2 linked regions of the Bombyx mori genome follow. Each later gene encodes a partner of the first gene's protein in a complex. Links are inferred from orthologs where the notes say so. Each region holds a gene or a part of one and is shown on either strand. Other genes may lie near its edges. The genes, in order: DNA-directed RNA polymerase III subunit RPC2 and DNA-directed RNA polymerase III subunit RPC7-like.

Region 1 (12,840 bases):
CCAAATTTTTTAATGAAGTTTTTTTAACATATTTAAAAGGTTATAAGTAATACTACTAAAGATTTATTTCCCTGTTTCCAGATGTATCAAAGGTCGTATCAAATCAATACAGCAAGTCCAGAAAGAGTACGAATTGTTAGAGTGCTTATAAAGCATTTGCATTCGTTTTCAGCAAAATACGTTTCTGATCCAGCTGTGCGTTCGTCTGCATTACGAAAGTACGCACGCCAGATATTGTGTGTACGTGCATATCATTATGTCAAACATTTGGTTACAACATGGCCTCTAGATGCTTCATTCCGGCTTGTTATGGAATTATGGTTAAGCCTTATTCAACCTTGGCGATACGTTAACAACAACATTAATCAAGATAGGTAATATTGCAGTAAATTAAACATATAACACATTTTTGGAAAGGAATAAATAGGTCACAAACAACAAACTCATTTTTATTACTCCCAATAGGAGGACTCACTGTCCACTCGATGTTCAGTTGTTATATAAGATGATGGAGTGTATAGATAATATAATGTTAATTCTTACATATTTTTACACATAGGAAGATAAATTGTTTTGTCAGGTTAATACACTAATATTCTGTACAGTGACAACGACTTGTTCATCACAATCTTACATGACCTGCTTTTTCCTACCCCGAAGCAGTTATATGTTTTGGTTTAAGGGTAGGTGAGCTTTTATACAATGAATGCCCTTGATGGTAGTGGTGACTGAGGTAGGCAGCAGGGTGACTCAACTTTTGCTATTTCAAATGTCCATGGGTGACAATGACTAATCACTGGTGGGCCATATGCTCATTTGGCCAAGAAGGCAATTCTAGGGTCGGCAGACTAAAGCACATAAGTCAAAATTTTCAATTTATTTTTTATTACATCATCGGTTTACATTTTGCTCAACACACAATCTGACTAAAGCACATAAATCAAACTCAAGTATTTCATGGTGTATTCAAGCGGCGTTCTGTATCAACCTTATCAAATCCTAATATAATCAAACGAACTAAAAAACATAACTGGACTTATGTTCTAAGGAACACCATAAGTACAAAGTTATTAACGAAAGAAGTCTGACTTATGTTATAAAGAACATCAAAATGTAACATTTCTTTAGAGAAAGTAAGTAGTTACTTAAAAATATTTATAACGTAAACAATACTTCGGTAAGTGGTTTTAATTTACTAATGTTGTCGATTGTGCACAGTTTGTTGGTTAGTTAGTTGTGTTAGTTAGTTGTGTGTGAGTGCTTAAGTATTTTAATTATTTAAGATGAATATTCAAAGAGGCAAGAAATTAGTTGAAATGGCGTTATCCACTCATCTGGAAAGCGATGAAGGTATATTTTCACATATCTTCAAAATTATGATTTGCAAATTACGTAATTATATCAATATTATATCATTATAAATAGATAATTGTCTTGTCCTTTTTTAGAAAATGTAAATCAACAGTCGATTTTGAACACAGAGAACTTAGTAGTAGACGATCCTATACTGTCAACATCATCAGGTCAAGTCAGTAGTTTAACATACTATTCTGTACTTGAATTCTCTAGTGATGATTCTGTACGAGATCCATGTTATGAATTACCGAGACTTCCAACCACATCAAGTTCAAAGTACTTGTGATGAAATTTTAATGAATCCTAATGTGTCTCCAAAAAAGAGTATACGTACTATCAAAAGAGAAAAAAAAAATAAAACTTAACTTAGGACAGGCATACAGAACTTTAAAAGGAAATTGTATATCAGATCGCACAATGAAAAAAAAAATTTTTTTGAGAAAAAACAAAAAAAAAGCCCGCCGAGTTTGTTTCGCCGGTTCTTCTCAGGCTTTTTTTGGAAACGGTGGTAAAGATAACATTGTTATTTATATTTTGACATTCAACTAGTGTGTTATACTTTTGAATTTGAAAGAGTTACGAGTTACCTGTTTGCAGAATGAAATGTAAAGAACGTATACCATTAACTGATAGGCATGCCATATTTACAGAATATTGGCAAATGGGGTCATATGCAAAAAGATCTGCATACTTGGCGTCTTTAATGGAAATTCAAGATAAATCTAAGCAAAGAATATGAGCTATTGAATCTGAAAAGCAAAAGCTTAGAATGAAGACATAAAAATACTTTTTTACTGTGCATGGTAAACGTGAACCTGTCTGCAGAGGATGTTTAATGAAACCGTTAGATGAAAGTGACAATTTTATAAAGACAGTTGCTATGAAAAGGAGATCATCCATAGGGGATTCTCAAACTGATGATATAATATCTATACAGCCATTACCCATATCCATCGAGAAAAAAATTGATTTAATTTCGCTGCTCCCTTTAATACCAGATATTTTCCATGAATTTTACATAAGTCTTCCCACGTTGAAAACTTTACGAAATACTGATCCAGATATTTTAGAACTCGATGAAGAAGAAGAATTTTATTTAAACATTGAGTTGTTATTTATATTTATGACTTATATTATTATAATATATATCTTAATTGTTGATCTTTTTCACTTAACTCATACTATTATTGTGTTCCTTATAACTTAAGTCATCTAATTATTAATTAATCACATTTACTTTAAAATATTTAATTTTAATAATAAGTTAGTGTTATAGACTTATATAATTCAAATAAACATGATTAAGTTTGTTAATGTATAAGATTCTAAATAGTTTTTTTTAATTCCTGTAAAGTAGAGTTTTTTGACTTATGTGCTTTAGTCTGCTGACCCTAGAATTAAAAAGTGTTGTTTCTATTCTAACAATTTGAATCTGGGGCGGCAGTGAAATTGTCTGTACATATAGTGCAATCAAAAGATATATAATATTGAACAATATTCAGATATTGAGATAAAATTGATAGTAGTAAATTGATAATAATAATTATTTTAACCTTGAATTTTCATCTTAACTGCATAACTGTATACTCTTCTTTAAACATGCAGCTGGTTGTAAGTATGTTGTTTATTTCAGATTTCCATCAAACAACCATCAAGATGAAAATCCAACACACACCCTCGATGCCAGCTTTACTCAGTTTATTGCCGAGAATTTTCCATCATACACTTGCATTTTTCAGTTGATTCTGCCAAGATTTATGAGATTGGATCTCACGACGTACAAAAATGCTGTGATGCTTTTTAGATTGGGAAAGGTAATATTCTGTTTTACTTACGTGCCTTTCGTTTGCATCATAAAGTATGATGATTTTTTTTTGTGCAGGTGTTTTCCCAACCGCATTTAGTACCAATTCTGTGGAACTTAGAACATGCAATTCTGGATAGTGGATCTGGAGTGACACACAGTTCAGACTTAAATTTTAGCAATTCAATGACTGATCAAAGGTGAACTATTGTTTTTAAACAGTTTGTTTCAGTGCCTAGATAGATGAAAGAGCTCAGGGCCCGTCTAGTGTTAATATAGTAATAATATAATAATCTAGTGTTAAAACATAGACATCATAATATGATTGACGCCACCTCCCTTGAGAAATGAGGTCGAAATCTTCAATTGGAATACGTCCGTCTGGTGTAGTGGTAAGTGACATGGTCACTACACCAGGGGGTCGCGGGTTCGAATCCCGCCAAGGGAAGATATTTGTATGATAAATATAAATGTAAATATATGTATGTGTATAATAAAAATCTTACATTTATTTCCGATATCTGGTACCTGTAACACAAGTTCTTTACGATCTTATCACGGGACCAGTTAACGTGGCGTGATTGTTAGTAAAATAATTATATTTATTTATTTATAATGTCAGCCCAACCATCAACGAAATGCTTATCCAATGTTGAATAACCACTTTGATTCTTTTTTTTTTTTTTATAAATTAATGACTTATACTTTATTAAGCAGTTATACTATACGAAATAATAAGATATAGACATACATATTTAAATATATACGAAAAAGGCCATATCATCAAAGAAATAGACCGTGCACTCGACAAGTAAAGAGAGTACATTAAAAGCCGATAACGTCCAGTGATTACGTATTTTGAATGCAGCAAATTCTCGCAACTCTTTTCAAGGTGTGTGGCGCATTTACGTTGTAGATGTCTATGGGCCCCAGTAACCACTTAACACCAGGTGGGCTGTGAGCTCGTCCACACATCTAAGCAATAAATAAAAAAAAAGAAAAAAAAAAGCTCTTTCTTAATTATAAAGATTCAACAACATCTTTTACAGTTATACATACAACGGAGTGTCGTTGCAAAAATGGGTAGCGATAGCGAAACAAGCAATATCAGAATTCAATATGCCTGAAAATTTCGAATATAAACCTATATGGAATGATAACATGCGATCTTTTGCTTTAGAATTTGTAAAGAAAATTATTTCTGCTAAAACTATAGCGGAAAAGAACGTTGAAGAATTTAGTAAAAAAATCGACATGAGCAATCAAGGTAAATAAACGTATGTATTTAGTTATTTATTACGTAAACGTTTGAAAAAGCTTACGGCCACCTAGTTTTAAGCGGTTACTGAATCTTATCGGATATCGGAAATGTAAATCCACTTAGAAACATGAGGTACAAATCACAATTTTACAGCAACGGCTATCCCATTTACGCCGGAACGCATGACTGCTTCGTGGTAGGAAATATGCCTACTATAGGCGGTGGTAACTACCCTAGCAGGCTCCCAAGTCGTGCTGCCACTAGTAATTATGCAAATTATATTTTCTATTACACTTGATCATGTGAACGATTCAATGATATTATGCTATAGATGAGCAGATAATAAATAGTTAATTATTACACAGTTTCAACTATGTTTTAGGATTTTGGTCATCTTTAATGCACTGGCTAATGATAGCCACTCAGGATGAAAGTGATGGACATCTAGAAGAAGTAAAAAAAGTGCCAACTTATTTAAATACATCTATACACAATTTTGCAGTTATATTTGGTGTAAGCATTTATATATTGTCATTTAGCTAACAATACCGCACCGAACTGCAGCTCAGTAATCTTTGCCAGAGTCATAATTTTTAATCTATACTTAATATTAAAAAAAGGAAAGATTTGTTTGTTTGTTTGTATTGAATAGGCTCCGAAACTACTGAACCGATTTGAAAAATTCTTTCACTGTTTGGAAGCTACACTATTTCCGAGTGACATAGCCTATAATATTTTTTTATAATATTTACAAAAAGTGTCGCGACAGCAGATGTCTAACTATTATAGTTATTTATTTAAAAAAAAAAAACAGCGTCAAAAAGACCCGAGCGAAGCCGGAGCGGGCTGCTTGTATATATATAAGAAGGAAGTTTTATGAGCGTGTGTGTATACCTAGCTATTTTAATTTTTCAGTTAAGTGAAGCACTACTACTCCCTTCAGAACCAATTGCGGATGACAGTTTAGAAAACTCATCATTTGTAAATTCAACTGCTTTTCCATTTTCTATAACAAACAAGGTAAATATTGACAGAAATGATATCCAATTAAAAAAATAAAAGAAGAGTATACTAAAGTATATATACTATTTTACAGCTGAGAAGTAAATCAACAAATGTACATTATATGGGTAATCCAGACCTCATGCCTATAGCATCCTATGAAAGTACAATTTTAGTCAGAATACTGCATCAAATTTCAACTAAAATAAATGAATTGGTGAGTTATGTCAATAGATTAACATTCTAGTTAAGCATAAATTAGCAAAGACAAAACAGTTTATCACCTTTCTTCTGTTTGTTTGCTGATTTGTTTGTGTTAGTAACTGTTTGGAGCTTTTTACCACTAATCGTTTTAAGCTTTTTACTGTTACGTACCCATGTCTCTATATAAAAGTATTCATTAGAAGAAATGTGATTCATAGAAATTCAGTCTTGATTTAATACATTAATATGTGAGGCATGCAAATTGTGTTCTTGATGGACTTCGCTTCACGTGGGTCTTAAAATGGGCTTGCTCGCTTATCCACACAGTTAAATAAACAAACCTTTATTTATTTAATGATTTATATTTTAGTATGAACCAACGTTCACAAACCTGTGGAATCGACAAGACATTTGGGGTTACGCGGCTCGGGAAGTACTACAGAAGCCATGTACGATCCAAACGTATGTTAAAGACATAACAAACCACTATCGTGTTATTCGGCAAGATCTACCCCCAAGGTTACTGTTAAGACGACTTGGCTCACAGGCGTTCATTTTCTGGATAACTGTTGGCTATTTAATTATGAGATTGTTTTCTTTCAGTGGCCTTAGTTACATATTAATATTGTTTTCTTTATGGTTGTCGTATGTATTTATCAAGGGAAGTTTCAAGATGTTAAAAGTAATACGAATAAATTAAGATTAATATTTTTTATATTAAAAACCTTTTTGAACCTGCTCTTTATTTATTTAAACCGTAACAATAATGGATCACAGTAATTTATTTAGACTTTGCAAAAAAAAAATGCCCTAGATTGGTGAACGAGTTCACTATAGATCATATAAGTAGTTGATATATGAGGAGCTCACTTCTATCATGTTATGAACTTATAATTTTATAATCTATGTATAATTGTTCTCTAGATTACTTATGCTATTGCAATTTCGTTATCCCCGACGTTTTGAATAACGAAATTAAAATGACTACTTCGCGGCAGAAGTATGCAAGGGTTTTTTTTTACATACAGAATGACCATTAACACTAATCATACCAACACTTACTGGTACCTATTTCAACCGTAGCGGGTAGAAAAATCGTCGATAAAATTAAAACTATTTTCAGAATCATTACCTATTTATTGTCTGTTAGGAATATTTCTTTAGGGTAAGCTTAGGTACGATATTCATTGAAGCTAGTTCTTGAAATAACAATTTGCAAGCGTACGGCATTTCGACACTGGAAACCGCAGCCGATGACCGGCAAGTGTGACACCAGGCGCGGTTCGCGAGCCGCCCGCACGCGCCGCATATGTCCGCGGTGAACGCGTCCGAGGCCAGCATTAGCCGCTCCATGATCAACATGCTGGCGGAATACATTTCAAGTTAATAATTTGTAAAAGTTTCATAACATATCACAACTTTAGAATTGAAGTGGTTTTACTAAAAATTTTAAGATATTTTGAATGACTTTTAAACATGTATCCTTATCTATACTTCTATATTAATATATAAATCTACAGTGGTTTTTACGGATGTTCCGTTATAACTACTGAACCATGCATCCGATTGACTTGAAACTTGGTATCCATGTAGAAAATACATGTACTTGATGAATAGGCTAATATTTATATGAGTGTTGGACTCCCTACACCAGTTGCGGGGGCGTTAATGGTGAGAATCTTTATGGGGGTGAGAAAAAATAATGTTAAATTTAAATGCCCAGCGACGCGGACAGGTACAGCTAGTCAGTTTATAAAATTAAACAATCTCTTTTAGTGTAGAAAAGGACAAGGTACGCTTTCTGTCTCTTTTGAATCACGCGAATAGGTACCTTAAACTTTACGGTATGTGCTTTAAGGCGTAAAGTATTAAAATCGAAACTAAAAAACTATAATTCTTCAATTACATTTTTGTCGTTTACCAAAAAAACAAGAATTTTGGATTAAACCATTTCAATTCTAAAGGTGCCATATAATTAAATCGCGGTACAAACTAACTAGGTTATTCATATTACATAAATCTGTATGGCTTTTTTTTTTCTTTTTTTTTTACTTTCTTTTTTTCCCACCTATGCTGATAGCAGAGGCTACTTCAGGTTTACCCTGACGTGTAGGTGAGCTCACGGGGCTCAAACCGGAAGTGTTGTTAACACTGACCCTGGCAAGAGCAGTGCTTCGCAGAATCTACCACCGGATCGGAAACGCGACCCACTGAGAAGATCCGGCGAGAAACTCAGGGGACATATGGAGTTCAAATTCGTCATTACTTATACTTACATATACAAATATTAGTGTTTACCTGGCGCCATATCCAATAAGACAATCTCGTTCCATCTCGCCCAGCCGAAGTCCTCCGTCGCGAGAGCGTCCTTCAGTCGGTTGACGAGTCAGAACCGCCCTAGGTCCGCGTGCTCGGGCGTGCATTTTGTCTTGAACCATATGCTTTAACTTCTGGTAGTATACCTGTTTGAAAATTAAATGTCTGCAGTTGTTGTCTTGTTCCTTAAATAACTGAGATTAGAAATACTCACAGGACCAGAATAAATATAAGCTTCTAAAGGCTCTCCAGTTAATCCCGAATAAAATATATCTTTTCCGTGATAATTGTAACCATGTTTTTCTAATTCTTTGCAAACGTCCTGTACTTTGGAACCTCCGAACGCAGTACCTAAAATGGACATTTTACTTATTTTTCATTTAAAACTAAGACACCACGCTTCGCTGTGACTAATGTTAAATAGACGAAATACACAGACTAATTGAAATGACTCGAGTGTCACCTTTTTTTCTTTAATAAATACGGACACCTTTTCAGGTATTTTTTAGCTTAGATGGTTGGACGAGCTCACGGCCTGGTGTTAAGTGGTAACCGGAGCCCATATACATCTACAACGTAAATGCCGCCACCCACCTCGAGATATATGTTGTAAGATCGCAGTTTTAACATTACGACGGCTTTCCCACCTTTCAAACCGAAACGCAGTAGGTACTGCTTCACAGCAGAAATAGGTAGGGTGGCGGTACATAACAGCTTCACGAATGAATTTCTTCATCCCATAATATCGTATAATAAGAATCTATGCTATCAAATTTATAAATTTCCGTAATTCAAACGATACGTTAAGATACATAAATAATAATATATCCTTGTAACCTATATACATACCATAATGGAATTTTCCTTCTAATAATCCCGCTTTTCCAGCTAAGAGCTCAATGGTTTTTCCCACTGTCATTCTAGATGGGAAGCCGTGGGGATTCATGATCATGTCAGGACATATTCCTCTGTCATTAAAAGGCATATCTTCTTGTTGCACAATCAAGCCAGTTACACCTTTCTGACCGTGTCTAGAACTAAACTTGTCACCGATCTCTGGAACTCTGGTTTGCCTTAATAAGATTTTTATCAAGAAAGCATCTTCGGAGTTTGAAGATACCATAACCTTTTCGATGTATGACTCAACTGGCCCTTTGTATGTAACTGGTACATCTTTGTATTCAATTTGTTGCGGTTGTCCTTGAGTGACGGGATTTATCGTAGCCGGCGGCATCTGTTTGTTTATTAAAACTTGCCTATTTTCAACCATTTCACCTGGAGCTGCAATGCCGTCAGAATCCAAAACATCATGAGTTCTAATTACTTTTCCTGTAACTGCATCTCTCGAAGGTCCCAAAATTCGGTCCGATGTTTGATTGCTGTACCGCTTCATTGTTGTTTTCGCACTTTTATAAACTAGACAACGTCCATATCCTCTGTCAATCGAAGCTTTGTTTAGAATCAAAGCGTCTTCTATATCATATCCACTGTAGCTCATTACAGCGACAGTAGCGTTCTGACCAGCTGGCAGTTTATCAAAATTTATCAACTCAATAGTTTTAGACTTCACCATTGGACATTGAGGATAAACAAGGTTATACATTAGAGTATCGATTCTGTTTTTTTGATTGTACCCTATGGTTCCTAAAAGATTAAATAATTAATTCTGTGAATAAACTTTAATTATAAATGATGTAATTTCCAAAATATTTCAGACTTACCCATTGCTTGTTTACCCATAGCACATTGATATGTGTTCCTAGGGCTCTGGTTGTGATGTGGATATGGTACTAAGCCTGCGCACACACCTAATATCGTAAAAGGTTCTATTTCTAGATGAGTAGTGACGTACGGATCAATATCTACTTCACGTGTTGCTATATGACTGTCATTTTCTTCATTTACATCCAAATATTCTATAAGACCATCATTTAAGAAATCTTGGAATTTTCTTATACCTCTATTTAATTCATTTAAATGAGATTGCTGCACTAAGGTATTTCCTCTTTCTACGATTATGTACGGTCGACAGAGCCTGCCGCCGTCACTGCAGATATAAACGGTTCTTTGGTTATGATTGGGATATATGGAGACAAAAGCTGAAATCAATCCTCTTCTCCTGAACATTCTAAAAACTTTAATCAGCCGCTTATACTGTCGAGAAACGCCCAGTATGTTACCTGTAACGGAAACAAACTATAAGTACAGATAACATTTTAATGAGTTTTTTTTTTAAATGTTTTTCAAATACCATTAAGAAAGACAATGTAAACAGCAGGATGATTTATTTCTTCTCCGCCTAGCAGCCTTACGTCTTCAACTCCAGCATTACAGGCCAACTTAGCAATAGGCTCTTCAGAACACTCTGTTGTAATATGCGTCATAAGTGCTAAATTCTTAACAAGACCGCATGCTTCTCCTTCAGGAGTGTCGGAAGGACACAGCATACCCCACTGTGAGGCCTGTAATGACCGTGGTCCAGACACTTTTCTGGTCTTCTCGAATTGGGAATTTACTCTTGTCATCATACCAAGTGCTGATATATAACTGAGGCGACTTAATACTTGTGTGACCCCGTGCCTTTCCATTTTAAAGCGCTTAATTGTCCAATTGCCCTAAAATATTATATCTTATTAGCATGGTATAATGAGTAATTAATGCCCATAAGAAATCGATAAACTGTACTAACACTAGAGATGGCTGTAAACAGTCCATTAGCAATCAAATCCGGTCTCATATGCTTCACAACATCAAAGGGGGCAGCTTTAACTTTAGGTATTATTTTATCGGCTATACTCTTCAATTCCCAGTTGAATCTTTTGAATAAATCTTCAAACATAAGTGCCAATAAAGACCCCGCCAATTCAAGCCTTTTGTTCCCATAGTAATCTGGATCGTCTATTGCAGTTTTATTTGTTTCGGCTTCAATTACCCTTTTCACCATTATCGCAAGGTAAATGGCCTTTACGTAGAAATTGTAATTCTCAACCGATACGTGAGCTAATATAGTCGTAGCTAATAGTTCACGAGCGTCATCAATTGGTGAGCGTACTTTTGTGTTTCCACCTTGATACCTTTACATTTAAAACAAAAATAGATTTTAATAGGTACTGTATGGAAAATGTGGAAGCATTTAAATATATGTAATGGCAATGGTTAAGGTTTAAATGTACGTTTATTTTTTAACTATAAGCATATTAGATCTATCAAACGGTATTTTTATATGAATGCTCGCAAGGGATGGAAGACTGTAAGTACACTTTCACTGCTGAATTGGATTTATTTCAACTTCTCCCGCGTTCTATATAGATATCTTTTTCCAGGCCCAATTTGTCATATACTGGACTACTTTCCTTGGACATATTTTCTCTATCTCCTCAGCACAAAGAGCGTACTTTATCACAATTTAGCATAGATTTTTAACGAAATTAAATTATGAACGCGTTCAATATATTATTAGTCGCGAACATTTAAAACAATTAGTAACTATTAAGTAATTTGATTACAAAAAAAGCTTACAGAAACAGCGGGGTAGTAAAATATTTTTATTTATATATGCACTAAACAGTGATAAATTAGATGTAAAATGAAACCTTACCTTTTTACTTTTAGTTTACTTCCTATATAAGTCAGAGCTTGATTTTGAGTAAATATTTTCAAATTATGGCAATCTAGAATACAAGGTGCCATTTTTTTTATTGTATTATCGTCAGTACCTACAAGCTGCATTATTTCTTGATCACTACATATGCCCATGGCTTTAAAGGCGACAGCTATTGGAATATCCTGAATATAAAAAAATACAAATTAGTGGAAACTACATAATTGGAAATTATTTATTTTAGCTTTTGAAATAGCTTTTGTAATTTTGAAGGGAAGAAGTCCAATTCAAAACATATTATGGTTTTATTTTTATTTTTTATTGCTTAGATGTGTGGACGAGCTCACAGCCCACCTGGTGTTAAGTGGTTACTGGAGCCCATAGACATCTACAAGGTAAATGCTCCACACACCTTGAGATATAGTTCTAAGATCTCAGTATAGTCACAACGGCTGCCCAACCCTTCAAACCGAAACGCATTACTGCTTCACGGCAGAAATAGGCAGGGTGGTGGTACCTACCCGTGCGGACTCACAAGAGGTCCTACCACCAGTAAAAAATACATATATAGCTTTGATTATTGTTTGTTAAATGAAATTGATTTAAGTAGTAACATACATCAGACAATGCATTATGTCTGAGCACATATTTTCCATGTTTAAGAATCACATTCGTTCTAGTTTTCTTCTCATGTGTGGAACTTGTAACCTGACATTGTACTGCTCCTTTGAATTCATCAACAATCATTCGATTTCTAGAGAGTTGCTCTTGAATTAAAATCACCTTTTCTTGACCTACAGACAATAAAAATTGTTTTTCATTACTCAAGTAAACTACATATATATGTACTTATACAGGTGTCCTGAAACTCAAGGTCAAGCGGGTACGGGGCTAGGTACTACTCGTGCAGGGAAAAATAAAAACAAAAATACATTTCATTTTAAAAACCATACATCCATTGAACTTCTATTAAAGGGGCTGCATAAATGAAAAAGCGTACATGAAGCCAATATAAAACTAACTGAATTCACTCCATGTAACTGTATGCAATAGTGATCGAATAATAAAATATTGTCACTCTTGAAATCAAAACCAATAGTGTTCGGATCCCAAAACTGTTTTCTTTTTTTTTTAGAAATTTAGATAAATTTTAGCATATTTTTTGGCTATGCTACTCAATCAGATCATCTCTTTGAACGTTCAAACGCAGTTATTTTTACAGTATCGTTAAAATGATAATTTGAATTTGATTGTCTTTAACTTTGTTTTAGAGCACTGTTAATAAATGTGTTTCAT
Region 2 (12,729 bases), on another chromosome or scaffold:
TAGGTTTACTACAAGCGGTCTGCATTATATTTATTGAGAGCAGTAGCGAAGTAAGTACATGTATCACTTTTATACATTTAAATTCGTTATTAATTAATAATCAAATAATAAACATGACTAGGCACAATGAAGAACTGGCGAGCGCAATAGTCCGCCTGGGAGCTTTAGAACACATTGTTTCTTGTCTTGAAGATTTTGACACTCAGGTAAAAAAATAAAACTAAATACTACTAATACTGAGTCAGAACTGTTTCTATCGTTTCTATCATATCGAACTGATTCTATCGTAATTAAAAATATAGGCCTTATTGCAATTTTCCATTCACAGGCGTCGCGTCATATTAGTTCATTTAAAAATAGTTTTGAGGTTTAGTCTCATTTATTTTATTCATGTGGGTGGTCGTTTTTGTTTATTTTGTGTTAAGGTATAGGACACAACATACGGCCATATGTGTGCTTAGTCCGAGTTTTTTAAGGTTCTCGATAGCCTAAAAGTGAATCAAATTTTGTATGCAGTTGGAACAGTGCCCAAAAGTAGCGGCAAACGTAAGTAGGCAAACGATCCCATTTCATAACAAATATGAGCTAACTTTTACGCTATCGAGAACGTTAAAAAACTCGCACTAAGCACACTGATGGAGAAAATTCACTCTTGTTTACTGTAAAAATCATTAATGCCAAGGTGATAACTAGCCGCTACCCACTGCCATGGACTCTTTTCGCAGTTTGTTTGAAGAAAGATAATATGTTATACTTAGTGCCCAGGAAACAACATTAGGAGAGGAGTTCAATCTAGAACCGTACGTACCTACGGATGTACAAATATAATCTCTAGAGATGTACTGGGTATGAATGCAGCGGTTCCAGGCAATCGTGGTTCTGGGGATGAACTCTGATCTAATGATTATGTAACGACAAAAGGAGATGATGAAATCATTTCAAACAATATCTGCTTCGTCAATCATACCTTTACCTGCAAGACTAAGTGACGGGTAACCATATTTATGGTATGATAAATAATTTATGAACCATAACCACTTTGAGATGTTCGAGGCTGTAAAAGAATGTGTCGGCTCTAATTAATAATTACTAAATTCAATCTCAAAACTATTTTTAACCATATCTATACTGTTCTTGACAATATATGGTACTGTTTGACTGACGGCAATCAATTTATGTAGAAATTGCGAAACAATCTCATTTTAGTCGCCTTTTTTATTGCCTTGATGAGTGGACATGCTCACGGCCCACCTGGTGTTAAGTGGTTACCGGAGCCCATAGGCATCAACAACGTAAAGCCGCCACCCACCTTGAGATATGAATTGTATATCTCGGTTTTATAGTACAGTGGCTGCCCCATCCTTCAAACCGACACGCATTACTGCTCACTGCAGAAATAGGCAGGGTGGTGGGTCGTCGTTTCATTTTTATTACACGATGTTATTCCTTCACTGTGGAAATCAATCGTGAACATTTGTTGAGTACGTATTTCATTAGAAAAATTGGTACCCGCCTGAGATTCGAACACCGGTGCATCGCTCAACACGAATGCACCGGACGTCTTATCTGTTAGGCCACGACGACTTCAAAACTTTTTTTCAGGTTAAAGAAAATGCGGCTTGGGCAGTAGGTTACATTGGAAAGCACAGTGAGCAATTGGCCGGTTTGGTTGTAGATGCAGGCACACTACCCTTGTTAGTACTCGCTTTCCAGGAGCCTGAGATAAGTTTAAAGCAGGTACCTACTTGTACGTAACATAAACCAACATTATTAATAATAGTTTGTGGGATAAGGATGACATGAGAATTTTATTAATAATTGAGATATACCTATCGATAGTCATGGCTAACATTTTGAATTTAATTAATTTTAAACCTTTTACTATACACTGCACTTCATAATAACTACTGTTGAAAATCTAGTAAAATAACAATTCAAACATAGAATTGTAATCATTTTATGTACAATTAATATACATCTTGAAGTGCCTGTGATTACGACCGAATTTCAATCATACGGCTGATATTAGCCTATAATTGGGCTGAACTCAGCTGAAGTTTCTCATTTAAAGTTTTATGTGAAAACCCTCTTAATTTTTTAATATAAGTTTATTTACTTCTGTATCCATCAGTGACTTCCTTTCGACGAAAGGCTTTCGTGACTTTTCATTAGTTATCATGATTTCTTTACATAATGTTGAATGAATTTTAGATTTCTGCAGGAGCCCTCGTAGACTTGGCTCAACATAAGCCGGAAGCAGTAGTCGATGCGGGAGCTATTTCTCATTTGGTACACGGACTAGAAAATCAGGATCCTAAGCTTAAGGTGTATTGTTATGTTATAATTGAGTTACGAATTAGACATAGTCCTCTGTACCCCTAAAATGGTCCGTAAAATGAAATCGCCGGTTTTAGCATTGAATTTTAATTTCAAAAGCAACCTCAGAAATAATCAATATGAACGTTTTAGTTTCTTATGTCCCCTTCAACTTCGTTTAATATTACTTAGGCATCTACAAATCACTGGATTAAAGTAGGTAGGTATATATTGATATATATGTATATTGATTGTATTATCAACAATCTAACGTTAAACTAAGAGTTCGCAATCTCCAATGCTACGAAATTATTCTATATGGCCATAATAATAGGTTAGGGTGAATTTTACTGCAAATTTCAAATTAAAAAAAAGATTAGAAAATATTGATAGTAGCTTGAAAAATCTATATAATATATAAAAATGAATTGCTGTTTGTTAGTCTCGCTAAAACTCGAGAGCGGCTGAACCCGTTTGGCTAATTTTGGTCTTGAATTATTTGTGGAAGTCCAGAGAAGGTTTAAAAGGTAGATAAATTTGAAAATGCTCGGAATGAAATAAAAAAAAACAATTTTGTTTTTCCTTTGATGTGTCCCCCGTCGGACGGATTCCTTTTGATTGTTTTAAGTTTATTTTATACAAAAGGTTAGGTATTTTATTTATCGATTGAGGCACTACGAAGTCTGCCGGGTCAGCTAGTGATGAATAAATAACAGACGTTTACTGAAATATTTGGGAATGCAGCGTAGTATACTATGCGCACTGAGTGCAGTGGCCAGCGCACGGTCTGAGCTGGCTGAAGCAGTAGTGGCTGGTGGTGCACTGCCCGCCGCCCTCTTGCACGCCGGCCATGACGCAGCGCCAGTCAGGCGTGCCGCAGCCTGTCTACTGAGGGACATTGTCAAGCATTCGGTCGATGTGAGAGTCTATATCTATATGTATATAAATGAATTGCTGTTCGTTAGTCGCTAAAACTCGAGAACGGCTGGACCGATTTGCTTAATTTTGGTCTTGAATTATTTGTGGAAGTTCAGAGGTTTAAAAGGTAGATAAACATGAAAATCGGACGTCGGACGGATTCCTTTTGTTTGTTTTAAGTTTATTTTATGCAAAAGTTTAGGTGTTTTATTTGTCGATTGAGGAACTACGAAGTCTGCCTTGCCGGTTCAGCTAGTGGTTTTATATAAATTTATTGCTAGGTAATCGTAATGCAGTGTTAATACCGATCCCACGTGAATTCGACGATTAAGTTATATTAGTAATTTATCAGGTTTTTTTTGCGATGAATTGATATCGGTAGAGTTTTAGTGTAAATAGCTTCTAAGGTAGGTTCCGAGCAGCGCATGATACTGTTGTGAACGAAATAATGTTTAAGAGCAACATGATCAGCGCGTATGAAGTGATCACAAATGTTATTCACGGAAAGAAGAGATTCGAAAGCAAACTATTTTACTTTAATTCCTATTTACTAAACTTGTTATTTGTTAAATAATTGGGTAAAAAAAACATAGCATTACGTTCGATTAGTCAGTTATTTGTTATAAAATCAAAACAGAAAGAAATAATCCATAATCTTACTAATACCTAACTATGAAATATTTGCAATTTATTTAGTTGGCTCAGCTAGTAGTGAACACTGGTGGATGTGGTCCTTTGGTCGAACTATTAAAAGAGAGTACGGGTGGATCAAGAGTCCCAGCTTGTATGGCACTAGGATTTATTGCAGGGCAATCAGATCAGCTCGCAATGGCAGTTATAGAATCGAAGGTGAATAAAGTTTACATTTGTGTTTGACACAACTCAATAAAATATTAATATTTATATTATACCTTTTATATATATTATACCTTTTAAACTTAATTTCACGTCTCCGGTCACCGGTCACGTCTGTTGAACCAACGACGCCAGGTGGGGGAGGAAAGTCCTCGAATGGAGGCCACGGATGGGTACCAGGAGCGTGGGGCGTCCTCCAACCAGGTGGACCGACGACTTAGTGCGCACAGCGGGAAGTCATTGGATGCGGAAGGCGGAGAACCGCATGCTGTGGAAGGCATTGGAGAAGGCCTATGTCTAGCAGTGGGCAGATAAAGGCTGATGATGATGATGATATTCAAAAATTATATTTTAAGGAAATAAAGATAATTTAAATTTAAAATGAAAATATTGAATCAAAATTAATAAAATTTATTCAAACATTGAGGGCGGCGCGATAAACAGGGCCTAGGGCGCCATCAAGCCTAAATCCGTCACGGCTTATACCTATGTCGATGCCATAAACATAACTTATTATATATATTTATGAGTGAAAACTGGTAATACTGAGACTATTAGTCAATTTATGAAACATTGAATTTAAAAAAAAATATGAAATAAATAATCTTATTAAGTTTTTTCACTACACTATTTAAGTTATCAATCATCACAAATTGTGACCTGTTGTGTTGCCTTTTCTGGTTTTATAAATAAAAAAAATGTATCTATCAATTTTAGGCCATTACACCACTTGTTGAAATTCTACAAAAGAAAGATGCAGAAGATGCAGAGTTGTGTGCAGCTACTTGGACATTAGGCCACATCGCAAAACACTCACCACAACACAGTCTGGCTGTTGCTGTGGCCAATGCTCTACCTAGACTGTTACAAGTTAGGTTGACCTCATTCTTACTTTAGATTAGTTTAGATGTAAAAGTATTTGTGGTTTAAAAATTAACAGCAAGCAGAATTAAAATTGACATAACGTTTTTTTTTTATTCGATGTACTAATTCTGATCACAATATTAAGCCAAAGTAATAAAATTACTATATTATTGTCATCAGTCTTTAATACTTGTCTGATACATGTGCAAATAGCACATTTATAATCTTTTCATTTATATACGTAGATAGATGTCAATATTTAAAGTATATTTAAATTATATTTAAATTAAACATCGTTAGTTTAATTTTACAGCTTTACACAAACCCAAAGTCTTCAGGAGAAGTACAAGCTCGGACATCATGTGCATTGAAACAGGCATTACAATGCTGTCTACATAGACCTGCATTAGAGACATTGTTACATTCTGCACCTGCTTGTATATTGAAATATGTACTAGCTCAGTATGCAAAGGTAATTATTCTAGTTAGGCAAATATAACAATAATACACTATTTCAAATGAAACAGTGCTCCAGTAATCAGTAATGATTGATTTTTCGATTGATTAACGATTGATTCGTTTAAATATGATGTAGCAGTTACTTAAGTAGTAAACTTCTTTCGCTGAAATATTCATTTATTTCTATTTTTTAAAGAGTTCTACCAGGCGGGACTGTTTTTCAAATTGCTAATAAAGAATATTTGAAAGTAAAAATTAAAAGTGAAAACTATTTGATTAACAGTTAATTGTAATTATTTTTAATATGCAAGATCAATCAGTTTCAACTGTGTAATATAAATTTGTATATATATATTTCCTAGTAAACAGGTCCATCATCCAAATTATCATCTTCTTCTTCATAATCTTCCCCGTTATCAAAATAGTTATTTGCATAGTCAGTACCATCATCTAGTTCGTATTCTTGCTCATGTTCATCTTCCAGCTCCTCTTCTTCATCTACGTTTTCGTTGTTTAATTCTTTTTTTTTGCCGTCTATCGCCTCATCTGTTTCCAGAGTCTCTTTTTTTTCAAGCGTTTGTAATCTCTTTGCTATCTCTTCGGGATCATCGAGTTTTCTTTTCCTCGGAACAGTACGCGGACGTTTTGCTTGAGGCCGTAATTCGGTAGGCATGTTAACCCACACGCAATCCAATAACTTATTCTGCTTCGCATCAAGTGCTAACATTTTGTACTTATCAGAATATCGCTCTACACCGTCAGTCTCTGTTTTGACTTTAACAAATGCCGGTGATTCGTGTAGATATTCAATGAACTGATCTTTGACAATGAGCATATAGTCAGTGGCGGCATCACATATAAGAGGTAGTGGTTTTTTCTCAAGTTTTGGAAACAGTGGTGGCGGCACAAGTGTTGGAGGAGCATTGTCGCCGCGTGTCACACCTAAGGCTTGTATTTGCTCAGTAGTTAATGATAAACCGCTACCCCCGCGTCCTCGTCCTCTACCTGCCATTGTAACTGTAATCGATTTTTTGATCAGAAAACAATTTGGTGATAGTTAATCTATTTAAATTTGAAACTCCAGATGGTATCTACCTATCTCAAATATATTAAGTGTATAATCTATGGTATCTACGTACCCTACTCATTTGTTATTGTTTTGAATCGGATGTTTTTTCGTTTAATTCTTTCATAAATCAGGTAATAGAGACGTAGCTCATACAGCCAACGTTAAAAAAAATCGTGGCTTTATTTATTTTTCAAAACGTAAAATGCAGCAGTATGAGAATTATTGATAATTTGAAATTGACTATGGCGTGAAATAAGAATAAACTAGAGATGACATGAAATAAGCCTATGTATATTGCCTTCATCATTTGAAGAACGTGAACCAATTACCGTAGTAATTCGTAATGAGGTTCATCATTTATTAGAACAAAATATACGTGCGAATCATTCTCTTGCAGGCTAAATCCAAGAAATGTGTATGTTTTTCTTATTAGGGTCTTTTGCAAGTACCATTTAAATTTCATGGAGTTTCATAATTTCTGAAAAACTGTTCAGTTCAGAAATTATTATACAAATTATAATGAAAGTATAAGGAAGTAGATTATTTATGTTCGTTTTATTTTTTCAGATTCTACCCAACGATGCAAGAGCTAGAAGGCTTTTTGTTACAACAGGAGCATTGAAAAGAATACAAGAAATTGAAACAGTGCCCGGAACGTCCCTGAAGGAGTATATTAATATCATAAACAGTTGCTTCCCTGAAGAAATAGTAAGGTAAAAGACTACCTACTAAAAGAAAATTTGTCCTACTCAAATCTCAACTGTGGGCTTTTATACATTTTTCATTTTCAGATATTATACTCCCGGCTACACAGATTCTTTGCTGGATAGAGTTGAAGCGTATACACCACAAGTATGGAATAAACTCTTATGTATATATTTTCGATAGACACTTGTAGTTTTCATGTATTAACATGTAACTTTCTTTTGTTGAATAGATACCAGAACTTTTTACTGATCGGGTGCCGAGTGATTGCCAAAGCGAAATGAGTATAGAGAAAAGAAATTAGTTTATTTTTCTTATATGTTGTTAAATACAATTTATTAATACTGTTTCAATTTTCATTCTTTGTACATAGTCCAAACAATTTTTTGTAGTTGTACATTTCTTCCACCAATCTTAGATTCTTCTATTACCATTGATTGAGTCAATACTCTGTAACTGCAATAGGATTATGGTTAAATTTGTACACAGACCGATTTATCTGCGGTAAAAATCTTGCCCGATTTAGAGGGTATTATCCAATTCGCTACGAGTGTGTGCTTACAGTCAATTTAGCGTTAAGTAGTTACCTGAGCCCAAAGACATCACAACGTGAATATCACCACCCGGTCGGTGACAAAAGGTCTAAGGGCCCATTTTGGTACTGCTGGTCCACACTTCAAACTAGAATGCAGGACAGCTACGCGATAGAAACACTCAGAATGCGATTGTACATTACGTCAATATAAACCAATTTATATCAATTACCAATCGCAATACGGTTGTTTAACACTCAGAGAACGCTGTTTTCCAATATTTTTAACTTATTTTGTAAAGTTATGGATAGTGTCTAAAATAGAAGCGTAGGTATCTAAATGTTTCTTCAGTCGGCTACGTTAGACGCGCCAATATATAGACGAGCAGATTCATGTATCTCGCGATGACGAGAATTTATATTATAATTATAAATTATAGCATTATCTTTAAAAATCGGAACCCGTTTCGACAGTAGGGATTACTTTCTCTCCAAACGTTTCTTGCGTCACTACCCCTATTTTACTTTGGTAAGAATAATAGATCTGCATGGCTATCAGTGTTCTATTTTTTTAACTATAAATATATAATAGGTACACATATATGAAATATTAGTTGACCCAGCAAAGGTTGTTTTGCCATTAAATTTTTGGGTTTTTAGGAAAGAGAAATAACCTAGATACCGACTGCAGCGCCATCTGCGGGGTTGATTTGTGAATCTAAACCATCCAGGGCGCCACCCAAACGAATAGAAATTCATTCAAATCGGTCCAGGCGGAGTTCAGTGACATACACACGTACAGTAGAATTATATATAGGTAAAGATAGTTATAATTACGAGCGTGAATTTAGTAAATATAAATATTTTATTTAGACCTACAAACTTGAAGAAAAAAAAAGAATTCTTAAGCTCTTAAATTGGAACTAGATATTTCACACTGCATCGCATCCTTGTTATCTTATACCATCAGACTTTTTAGTCTCAAGGAGATGGTATAAGATAAGATAATAAACTTTTTTAAGCTACCTTTGACGAAGTTACTTCAAGATGTGTTCCTTATAGTTTATATATACTCACTTAAAGTCATTTTCAGCCAACAGATTTAACATGCGTACACCCAACGCTTCGATCTCGTGAAAATTCTGGTTTTGAAGGAATTTTATGTCATGTCGTATTAAATTCGTCTTTAGTAATTCTAATTCATTTGCATTTAAACCCTGTGATTTACAAAAAGAGAAAACGAATTATTGTGGAAGCTATTGGCCATTACACACAATCGCCAGGGAGGAATTTAAACTGGCTACATACTTGTAAGCATTTTAAATAGCACTATTGCAGACCTATAAGAGGCAGGTACGTTATTATAAGTCGCAATAAAGAATTGACGCATGTGATGTATTATTAATTGGATGAGAAAAACTATTAGTACTTTTAGATTTACATAAAACAATAATTTTAGTTTGATATATACAATTACTCGACTCGACAGACGTTCTCCTGTGGTGCACATGTCTTAAAATAGAAAATTTCACTTTTTTGAATAATTTGGACTGGTGATGAAAATATTTATTACCTATAATAAGGTAGGTATACTTAAATGCACTTGAACACATATACTTTGTTGCTTATTGCCACTTTAGTCGAGAGGACATACGTATCTAATAGTATACTAGTGGTTACAAGCTACCTGAATTTTACAAGAAGTGTATCCAACAGTTTCTAGCTCAGTCAGTAATATGTAATGCATGTTTAAATGATGAAGGTATACTACCAAATGTCCACCACAAACTGAATAACTGTACATGATAATTGTGGACAGGAAACTAGCTGTTATCTTACTGTCGTTATCTACCGGTTATGGTAAGTCTTCAATACTAAAGTGATAAAATAATACAAGTCAATAAACAAGCTATATTTTTGTTTCACTTTGTACCTACTACTATGTGGAAAAAGTACACGGAAAAGATCAATAAGGATCAATAAGATCAAAAAGCGGAAGGGTGGGGTAGCCGTTGTAACTATACTGAGACCTTAGAACTTATATCTCAAGGTCGGTGGCGCATTTACGTTGTAGATGTCTATGGGCTCCAGTAACCACTTAATACCAGGTGGGCTGTGAGCTCGTCCACTCATCTAAGCAATAAAAAAAAAAAACCAATTTAAGTTTGATAATCAGCCAAATTTATTTTATGCCATCTTCAAAATACCGTGAAACCTGGCGACTTTGTCAAAGATTGTTAAATTTGCCATGACCCGACTTAAAAGGTACCTTTGTCAAAACTTTATGTTCTATAACATTTGCAATGAACTACTTTTGAACATTTGATTGGCGACATCTTGATTATTTTGATTTGACAACCCAGATTTGAAAGAATTGTCATTTTTGGCGGTTGCTAAATGCATCTGCTAAATTTGTGGTAACTACGTGCTCCGGAAGTTTAGTGTAAATAAATAAGTGGATTTTACTTTCTTAGTAGTGTTTTTTTCATCAAAGTTATGGTAATTTACGTTCTATAAAGCAATTTAGTCTTATTAAATCACTATTGGCAAAACCAAGCAAACAAGTTTTGCTGATGTGAATGAACTTTGCCATTTTTTTTTGGAGGCTAGGACTGTCGAAATATTATAATATCTACTTTTAATGTTTCTTCATTTCAGATCCAAATTATAATTTTATTATTTATATGAAATTTGTTAAGATTTATGGATGGATAGGTATGTGTTACTCTTTCAAGCAAAGACTACTGTAGGCTTAGTGCGAGTTTCAAAAATCGAATCGAATGACTCGCATCGAGTGTACGCTCTTCACGGTGAAACGTGCGGAGCTCTGAGTGCGAGTTACTCGATTTGCAGGACGTTTATTCATCTTGAGAAGCGATATTTTTTTCTTTTATATTGGTAGCACGCAAGGTTTTTTTTAAGGCGTTTAATTGAAATGCCAAGCTTTCTAACGATATTTATAATTAGTCGGGTAATGGGTAATGTACCTGTGCTTAGTGCGAGTTTTTTTAATTACTCAGTCGATGTTAATGTTATGTTTAATTTGTGTGAGGTTGTATCAGTGCCACCTAGTGGTAAGCTTATGAATCTCATTTTGTGGGAGAGAGAAGGTTTGTTTATGTTGCTGTCTCATGTATCGAATAGCTTTACCGAAGTGAGGCTCTCGATTATTGTATGTGCGAGTGCGAGTTGCAAATTAATGGATTTTGAGAGTATTTCTTCACTTTCAAGCAAGTTAAGTAGTCACTAAAAATTTTGCCGTGAAACCAATACAATATCAAGATTTTTTCTTTCGTTTTTATTAATAATGTTGTTTTTTAAGGTTTTATCTATTCTAATGGTTTATACACATATATTTTTTCGGTTAGAAAATTTTATAGACGTCTAGCTAGTTGTAAATACATATTAATTCTTTGCTATTTCATTTAATTCTTATTAAATCATTGCTTTTTTTTAAAGAGTTGTTTGATGAGAGAGAGAGAGTGAGAAAGAGTTTTTTCTTTTTTTTTATTGCTTAGATGGATGGACGAGCTCACAGCCCACCTGATGTTAAGTGGTTACTGGAGCCCATAGACATCTACAACGTAAATGCGCCACCCACCTCGAGATATAAGTTCTAAGGTCTCAGTATAGTTACAACGGCTACCCCACCCTTCGAACCGAAACGCATTACTGCTTCACGGCGGAAATAGGCGGGGTGATGGTACCTACCCGTGTGGACTCCCAAGAGGTCCTACCACCAGTGAAAGAGTATTCTTTATTGTACACAAAATGAATAAATATTGTGAAACATTCTTTCTTGGTCTTATCGCTAAGAGTGATCTCTTCCAGACAACCATTAGATGGGCAAGAATAATTTCGAAATGAATTCCAGATTTATATGTGTGTATATATTATAGAAATATATACACACGCGCACACACACACACACACGCGCGCGCAATATACATATTTACAGATACATACGTACAGATTTATATTTATAAATTATATAGAAATTTAAACAATGTAATAATAATTTTGCTTCTTTACACATTTATAAATAAGGATAGATGCTCGTAATAATTTTAGTATATTTGGGCCACCTAATGAAGATCATCAACACTATTACCGTAAATACAATCATTTTATAAACGTTCAACGGGTAAATGATTAAACCTATGTAAAACATAATTTCTTTAATTAAAAAAAGCTGAAATAATTACCTATTCCAAGATTAATTATGTTAAGTAGGTATGTCTAAATATGTCATTACAATTAAATAAATTCTATAATAAACTTCTAATTCTAATACTTCTATTAAAGTTACTAAAAAAATATGTTTATGCTGGGCAGTTTTCGTGTATTTTAAAGGTTACGCCATTACGGCAAAGTTTGTTTACGAAATTGCACCCTTAGAATGGAAGTGGTATAACTAAAAAAATTTAAGATTAGTTTTATATTTCAAAACCCTTATGTATTAAGTACTTATGTATTAAGTACTAAGAACCTACAATTTAAGTAGGTAATACGTGAAGCAAAAATGTTGTACTCCTTTTTACGAAAATTGCGCGGACGGAGAAGTATGAAAATTCCCACACTTATAGAGAATATAGAGAAGTAATGCAGATTGCTAATTTTTTTTTTTAATTGTGCATAAACAATAAAAAAATAAACTAAATGAATAAAAAAACCTTACACACATTACCATGTATTTGACACACACACACACACAAACATGCATTTATACTTTTTTTGTTTATTGATTTATCAATCTGTGGTCAAATTGAGAATAGATTAATATTTTTTGTCTTTAATATTATTTTTCTATAATGTAGCCTTGGCGACATAGAGCAATGATTATTATAGAAATGATGATAATAGAAAGGTGACAATAGAACTATAATAATGTTCAAACTTAAAATTTAAATAAATTATGGTCAAATTTCGACCACTGGACTACCATTAGTAGATAATAATAAAATCATTTATTGCCTTTCACACAGATTTAGATTATTACAGGCAGCCTACA

Evidence for each region.
Region 2: DNA-directed RNA polymerase III subunit RPC2 (region 1) and DNA-directed RNA polymerase III subunit RPC7-like share a complex: the UniProt entries of both Homo sapiens proteins name them as parts of the RNA polymerase III (Pol III) complex. The link is inferred for Bombyx mori from reciprocal best matches to the Homo sapiens genes POLR3B and POLR3GL.

What each region holds. Positions count from the first base shown.
Region 1 is NC_085116.1:7,723,682-7,736,521, reverse strand, and holds the end of DNA-directed RNA polymerase III subunit RPC2, read right to left. Parts: intron 12,339-12,840; coding exon 12,163-12,338; intron 11,730-12,162; coding exon 11,542-11,729; intron 11,018-11,541; coding exon 10,633-11,017; intron 10,559-10,632; coding exon 10,195-10,558; intron 10,124-10,194; coding exon 9,665-10,123; intron 9,588-9,664; coding exon 8,793-9,587; intron 8,295-8,792; coding exon 8,158-8,294; intron 8,090-8,157; coding exon 7,926-8,089; intron 6,991-7,925; coding exon 6,774-6,990; 3' UTR 6,744-6,773; downstream 1-6,743. Other genes in the region: sphingomyelin phosphodiesterase 4, read left to right, coding at 82-374, 2,990-3,170, 3,239-3,360, 4,210-4,427, 4,804-4,934, 5,337-5,441, 5,518-5,640, 5,998-6,327. UniProt on the Homo sapiens protein: Catalytic core component of RNA polymerase III (Pol III), a DNA-dependent RNA polymerase which synthesizes small non-coding RNAs using the four ribonucleoside triphosphates as substrates.
Region 2 is NC_085117.1:13,524,102-13,536,830, reverse strand, and holds DNA-directed RNA polymerase III subunit RPC7-like, read right to left. Parts: upstream 6,706-12,729; 5' UTR 6,552-6,705; exon of another isoform or gene 6,430-6,551; 5' UTR 6,425-6,429; coding exon 5,771-6,424; 3' UTR 5,684-5,770; downstream 1-5,683. Other genes in the region: sperm-associated antigen 6, read left to right, coding at 4-50, 122-206, 1,603-1,737, 2,212-2,325, 3,061-3,234, 3,931-4,083, 4,807-4,959, 5,267-5,425 and 3 more; uncharacterized protein LOC105842656, read right to left, coding at 7,543-7,642, 8,796-8,935, 9,406-9,522. UniProt on the Homo sapiens protein: DNA-dependent RNA polymerase catalyzes the transcription of DNA into RNA using the four ribonucleoside triphosphates as substrates. Specific peripheric component of RNA polymerase III which synthesizes small RNAs, such as 5S rRNA and tRNAs.